Linked DNA regions of Sus scrofa. The protein of the gene in region 2 interacts with the protein of the main gene of each other region in a biochemical or structural test. Links are inferred from orthologs where the notes say so. Each region holds a gene or a part of one and is shown on either strand. Other genes may lie near its edges. The genes, in order: PDHA1 and PDK1.

What was found.
Region 1: the proteins of PDK1 (region 2) and PDHA1 form a complex in vitro, tested with the Homo sapiens proteins (2 studies listed by BioGRID, with this or other methods). The link is inferred for Sus scrofa from reciprocal best matches to the Homo sapiens genes PDK1 and PDHA1.

What each region holds. Positions count from the first base shown.
Region 1 is NC_010461.5:15,698,254-15,702,745, reverse strand, and holds the start of PDHA1 (pyruvate dehydrogenase E1 component subunit alpha, somatic form, mitochondrial), read right to left. Parts: upstream 2,823-4,492; 5' UTR 2,541-2,822; coding exon 2,484-2,540; intron 1-2,483. UniProt on the Homo sapiens protein: The pyruvate dehydrogenase complex catalyzes the overall conversion of pyruvate to acetyl-CoA and CO(2), and thereby links the glycolytic pathway to the tricarboxylic cycle.
Region 2 is NC_010457.5:78,646,277-78,649,214, reverse strand, and holds the end of PDK1 ([Pyruvate dehydrogenase (acetyl-transferring)] kinase isozyme 1, mitochondrial), read right to left. Parts: intron 2,376-2,938; exon of another isoform or gene 1,068-2,375; intron 836-1,067; coding exon 695-835; 3' UTR 620-694; downstream 1-619. UniProt on the Homo sapiens protein: Kinase that plays a key role in regulation of glucose and fatty acid metabolism and homeostasis via phosphorylation of the pyruvate dehydrogenase subunits PDHA1 and PDHA2.

The DNA.
Region 1 (4,492 bases), on a different chromosome or scaffold from region 2:
CACCTCTGCATGTAGAATGATTCGCACCAAACATCTACTGAACACCGGCAGAAGAAATTATTAAACCTCCCAAAAGGGCAAGAAACCCTCAACATAATTGGGTAGAACAAAAGAAAACAAGAAGAAAGAGACAGAGTAAAGAATGTTTTTAATTAAATAAATTGTTCTGCACAGGAATCCATTTCTGCCATAATAATCTTATCTCTTAAGAATTTTTGACTAAATAAAGTTATATTTCATTTTTGGTCCTTTTGGAGCCACATCTGCAGCATATGGAAGTTCCCAGGCTATGGGTCGAAGTGGGGCTGCAACTGCCGGCCTACACCACAGCCATAGCAACACCAGATCCAAGCCGCATCTGCAACCTACACCACAGCTTGTGGCAACACTAGATCCTTTAACCCACTGAGTAATGCCAGGAATCGAACCTGCATCCTCATGGATACTAGTCAGGTTCTTAACCCACTGGGCCACAGGAACTCCCATATTCCATTTTTAACAGATCACTGTTACCCAACTCTCGTTTCTATTTGACTTGAGATGTATTGTATGATTTTTGAGAAGGCCCAAGTTTTACTGAGGTGGAACACCAAGTGCAATCTGCCTTTGATGCCAACACATTGCAGGAAGACAACAACCCACAAGCAGGAGTATTTTGGACAGCTAAGGGAATGAAACTCTGATTTTAAATATTGACTTTTCGCTGTTCATAGGGACACAGGGGATAGTAATTTGAAAACTCACAAATTTTCCTTGTCTGTAGAACGCCATCAATTCAAACGAAGTTCTACTGTAATCACACCGAACTAAGGCCCTGTATGATGTTGAAAACATATTTCTATTACCTACATTCAACTAAAAACTGATGTTTTGGACATTAAATAGTCACGTGCCTGGCACACATTAAGGGCACAATAAATGCTGGATTTATCTTTTGTGTACATAGAAATAAAAAATAAATACAAAAACTAGAGCTCCTGTCGTGGCTCAGTGGTTAACGAATCTGACTAGGAACCATGAGGTTGCGGGTTCAACCCCTGGCCATGCTCAGTGGGTTAAGGATCCAGTGTTGCCGTGAGCTGTGGTGTAGGTCGCAGACGCGCTCGGATCCCGAGTTCCTGTGGCTCTGGAGTAGGCAGGTGGCTACGGCTCTGATTCGACCCCTAGCCTGGGAACCTCCATATGCCGCAGGAGCGGCCCTAGAAATGGCAAAAAGACCAAAAACAACGGTGAAATGTGCTTGTTTTTCAGGGAGATCCAATCACAACCTAAATGCTAATACAGATTAATCACATGGCATTCTGTGTTTGTCAATCAATGGCAGTCCTAGAGAAGTACACTTCCTCCAACCGTTCGATGATCTCTGCCCTATACCAAGCTGAGCTGCCAGTCTTGGGAGTTACTGGAGCAAGAACTGCAAGTCAAAACTTGGCTGCAGTGATACCAAGTCACATTACCACCCATCCCGTGCTTAGAGGTCAAAATGCTCTGAACTTCGGCTAGGAATGTCTAAAAGTTGGAGCCATAAATAGCGCTAACCTCTAACCCCATCCTCCCAAACACCACTTTAGCTACTTCTATCCTAAATGAGAGTGTCTCCGCATCTGTGTGCAAGTGGAGGGCCTCCCTCTGGGTTCTGCCTGACGGCTTTTGAATCGACTGCCTAGGAAAAGCTCACCGTTGAGGCAGAGGGGAGGAAAGAGTACCAAGTGTGTTGTTTCTCTGGAACCCAACCCTGCATCAACACTCCACAGAGCCGAGCGCTGGCGTTCAACAAATGTATACCAAATTGGGAACTCAAATAATAACAATATTTAATACTGACGGCACCTACCATGTACCAGGCGCTACCGGAAAGGTTTACATACTTGTCACTCCTTTAAGCCTCACGACAACCCCATGGAGTAAGTACTCTCCATTTCAGAAATGAGGAAATTGAGCACCGGGCTGTTTTAAGAAAAAAAGCAAAACCAAAAAACTCTTGCCCAAGACCACAGGGCTAGTAAAGAGTGAGGCTGGCGTCTGAACGGAGTCAGTCTCCGGATTCCTGGTCAAGAGGAACTAAGGAAAAATTTTAATGAACCGGCCAGGAAGAGGCAGCCAACTCGAGGAAGCCCAAGGCCCCCTTTTCTGTCTACAGTAAAGGAACGGGCACTTTTGCTTCTTTTGGGGGGCGGGGGGCGGGCATTTTGGGGCCGCATCAACAAGCCCGGCACGGGGAACCACTGCTGACCTCCACGTGGACCTTGTAAAGCTCCCCCTCCAACAGGCGGCGCCGCTTGGCCGAGTCGCCGCTCCGCTCGCGGCCAGGAGTGCAGCACACAACGTGGAAGCAGAACAAAGGCCTGCGGCTCCCCGAAGACCGCTGCGCCCGGCCCGACCCGCCCGCCTAGCCCGCTTGCCCTGCCCTTTGGCGTCCTCCGGCGTCGGGCCCCGCCTCGGTCCCGCTCTTTCCCTGCCACGGGCCGCTCAGGCCGACTCACCGGCTTCTGGGCGACGCCCGACAACACGCGGGAGACGGCGGCGAGCATCTTCCTCATGGAGTGCGGGCAGTGGCAGCAGCGGCGACTCCCAACCGCTCAAGCAGCGAGGCCCAGAAGTCTCCAAGTCTCCTTCAGGCGCCCGGGGAGGACGCTAAGACCTAACGGCGGCGCTACGGAACGCGACGCGACGCGACGCGACGGAAGACGTCATGCGCCGCACCGGGCCACGGGCCAACCAGGATTGCTCTCAGGGCGTGCCCCGCCCACCCGAGAGGCCCACGGCCGCCCATTGGGTGTCGGAGCCAGAGAGCTGGGCTGAGGGCTGCCTCCGTCACCACACGGGTGAGGGGCGGGAGACCTGAGGACGCCTGCGTGGGAAAGCGAGGCCACGCCTCCAGGGCCACTCGGGAATGGACCCTGTTAGATTGGGCGCCACAGCTGAGCCGTGCTCCTCTGGAGATCGTTCAAGGGCAATACTACCCAGCGACTAGTCTTGCCAGTACTGCACCTTTGCAGCCTCTGCTCAATACACTGGATGATAAAGATTAATAGCCTGATGGGGCCAAAGGACAGAACATATGGTTTTTATAAATGGTTCTGCTGCCAACTTGTCTCTAAGAAGTTACATAACAGTTGTAAAAGGCTTCCCTGCCTACTTGAGCTAGGATCTGATGAAATAAAATTATTATTTTAAAGCAAGGCAAGAATTTTTTCTTTTTCTTTTTTTTTTTGTCTTTTTAGGTCCACACCTGTGGCATATGGAGGTTCCCAGGCTAGGGGTCGAATTGGAGCTGCAGCTGCCGGCCTACGTCACAGCCACAGCGAAGGGACCCAAACCACATCTGCAACCTACACTACAGCTCATGACAATGCGGAATCCTTAACCCACTGACTGAGGCCTGGGATCAAACCCGTGTCCTCACGGATACTACTCGGATTCGTTCTTGCTGAGCCATGACCGGGCCTCCAAGACAAGAAATATTTAAACAAAAATGTTTTCTCTGTCTGTTTGGGCCTTCTCCACACACACCCCCCCTTTCTGGTGTGCATTGTTCATCTACATTATTCATTAAGCTCACCTCCCCAATGGCAGAAATACCTCCTCAGCCATAAAGCTCAATTTTTCTTCTTCTAGAGCCAGCCATGTAACTCCTTTGAAGATAACATTCCTTGCTCAATCCTGTAAATCGTCGTGATTGCCCTCCACTCACCTCGTATGTGCAGACATCTTTGGTGAACTTTATGCACAAATGCCAATGTATCATTTCCCTTAAAGATAGCGACTGGTACAGAACAGACTGAGTCACAAGACCTAGGGAGATACAGGGCTGCAATGAATGGAATTTCTTCGCTTAAATACTTACGACCTTATTAATGTCTCTAGCTATACTCCTTGTATCCTGCCTGTTTTACAAGACTACTGTTTCTTGCATTACCAAATGGGCAACTGAGCCTCTGATAAAAGTAAGATGACTAGCTGACTTGGAACGAAGGACCAAAGATACATATAATTCTACCAGATCAATGTTGGTCATAGTGTAACCCTAGATATGGAAAGAAGCAACAAGAAGGAACCATTTCCTGGATCCTAACAGACTGGTATGACAGGTGGTCCTGAGGCTTTGGGCTACTGTTAGCAGGGCTTAGTCCCATAAGAGCACATGGAGGGTCCTAGCAAGGAAATCCTCCCCTGACCTGGGAATGAGCATTTCTAGTGGTGTGGGCCAAGTGGGTCATGAAATGCTTCCCAAATCTTCGTCAAAAATAAGATCAAAATGGGGGGGGGTTGTAAAACAAAAAATGTTGCCCAGCATGCAGTTCTACAAGAATCAAGTCATTAGCCACTGCAGTCACTGACCTAAAATACACCTGAAGAGGATTTCAGGATTAAGATCAGGGTGAAGCATTTTGTGCTCTGGGAAAACTGGCAGAACTAGCCCTCGGACAGATATTTTCAGGAGAAAATTTGATGAATCCAGTTTCTTGCATTTTCCCATACTTGGAAAAGC
Region 2 (2,938 bases):
GCTTTGCCCTAAATCTCTTAATTTAGAATTTTAGCAGCTGTTTTTAGTATCAGAATTTCCCCTTGCATTAATCACAAGAGACCATGATCTTGGCTTAACTCCACAGGAAACCAATCATAATCCTTTGCAATAAAATTAAAAAATGATAAATTAACTTCAGAGTGAAGACAATGCATGTAGATGCTGAAAGATCGCTGGTTCTACAGTAACAGAGCAACTGTTTACGGCTCTAATTGTAGATAGTTGTATAAATCTGATCGTCTTATTACATCTATCATTACTAAATAAAGGACGGCAGAACTCCTCTAAAACAGAAAGATGGCTAACCTAGCTAATCAGTATGAAGATGTTTCCAGCAGACATAAAAGAATTTTTTAAAAAACCACATAGCTTCCCGTAGAAACCCAAAGATTTCTACGCTTCTGAAATCCACTCTAAAGAGAAAGGTGAGCAAAACTAGTTGTTTAAAAATAGGTTCAATTAACTGTGAAAATATTAAGTGTAATGTAGATACGATGTTGTCCTTGAGGAGATTGAACAGGCATAAATGGAACTGACTTGCCACTTACTCTACCCAGATAGTGAACTGTGAAAACGACACATGAAGTATTTGGTATAATGTAGTTCTGAACACCATCCCTTCCAAATTTAATGCAAAAGCCACATCTGGATTTTCCAAGGGTATCAAGTGTGTCTAGGCACTGCGGAATGTTGTCATGTCTTTTGGTTCTCTGCTGGGGACACACCAGTCATCAGCCTCATGGTTGGTGTTGTAATGCTTCCAGGCAGCTTTGTTATACACTGGGAGTCTTTCTATTGAGTCTGTGGACAGAGCCTAAAAGAAAAAGCGGGACTTCAAGTTAGGCATTTTTTAAAAAGAATCCATTATTTGAGAAAACATGCAATAGTATAAAAAGTATTACAAATTGAACAATATTTTTTTGGATCTGTATTTTACCATACACCATCTACTTGAATTCTAGCTTATTCTATTCTAAATGACGGCTGTTGTGTTTAATTTTTTTTTTCTTTTTTGGCCACCCCACGGCACATGGATCTGGTGCCAGGGATCAGATGGAGCCACAGTTGGGACCTACATTGCAGCTATGACAACAATGGATCCTCCTTTAACCCACTGTGCCAGGCAGGGATGGAACCTGCATCCCAGTGCTCCAGAGACATCGCCAATCCCATTGCACCACAGCAGGTACCCTAACATTTTAGAATAGAGCACATATTTGAAATAAGTTATTTACTAAGCCTATGGCAACTGCTTAATGTGTATGTTGACTGAGTTTAGGACTTGCAGTAATTCTCCAGCCAGCCTGGAAGTTGCTGAATTGAAATATTACATAGGTATGAAAGATACCTCTTATAAAACATGACCCAGAGCAGAAGTTAGTTAATTGAAAAAGTCAGTTAACTGTAAAAGCATAAAAATTCTCATATGTACCTTAACATATGTAATTGTACAATCATTTAATGAAATCTGGGTTTGATCCTGTGCCTTCTTCTGCCATTAAAGTCATGGATTTTAGTTACAGCACATGTGATTTCGGCATCATGCACAGCTGAACTTCTGTATCAACCCTCTCATAGATACCAAAATCTGCCGATACTCAAGTCCCTTAAATAAAATGGTGTGGTATCTGCATATAATCCATACAGATCCTGCTGTATACTTAAAATCAACTCTAGATTAATTATAATAGCTAATATAAATGCTATGCAAATAGTTACAATATAAATATTACGTAAATAAATAGTTGTGGGTATGCAGCAAATTTTGCTTTTTGGAACTTACTGGAATTTTTTTTTCTGCAAATACTTCTGATTCCCATTTGGTTAGATTTGTGGATGCAAAACCAGGGGATACAGAGGGCTGACTGTAATTTCATGTTTCCAACATAGTAACACCATCAATTCACTGTTCTATTTCAGTTCCTATAAATCACTAGAACCTGAGACCAACTGTTCCTTGTCATCTTCAAGTTAGGATGTTTTGGTAGGATCTCAACCTTAAGCTACAGGCATTCATTCCTCAAGATGTAGAAGAGAATGAACTGGAAATTTCATTCCAATAATGGTAAGGAAGGTCTTTGTTGTTTTTTAACGATTTTATAAGACTTCCTGTATTCTATTTTTTTCCCAAAATGAAGCTAAAAACCTTCCACATATATATATATTTTCTCTTAAATATGCCAGAACTGCCAAACTCCTGGATCTATAGACTCAAACAAAAATGTTACATTTACAGAGTTCCCATCATGGCGCAGTGGTTAACAAATTCTACTAAGATCCATGAGGTTGCGGGTTCAATCCCTGGCCTTGCTCAGTGGGTTAAGGATCCAGGGTTGCCATGAGCTGTGGTGTAGGCCACAGATGTGGCTCAGATCCCGTGTTGCTGTGGCTCTGGTGTAGGCTGGCAGCTCCAATTCGACCCCTAGCCTGGGAACCTCCATATGCTGGGGGAGCGGCCCTAGAAAAAGCAAAAAAAAAAAAGTTACATTTAATGATAAAAAGGGAAACGTGAAGACACTCTTTTTTAAGTTCTTCACAATTAAGATGGTTAAAAAAAAGAAAAATTATTACCTTGAAATAATTTTAATCTTTTCAGACAAATTTACTTTTTCTAATGTGAAGTCTTCAGCATTTCCTATAAAATAGGTGCCATCTAGTGGCCATAACAAGAAATTAGTGTCACTGAATCAGGCACCAACAGCCCACTGCAGAGCAAATCCAGTGGATTGGTGGGGCCTAGTGCTTTTCATCCCTGTGAAATACACTGATCTCTGTCTGCATAAACACATGGAATATCCCAAGCCAATAGGCTAAGTGCTTCTGCTCCCACCAGGTGAGCTATATGCTTACTAAGAGTCAACTGTAATTGTTCCTAAATCTGTTTATGTACTTAAATCTGTCATTGTAATTTGATCAA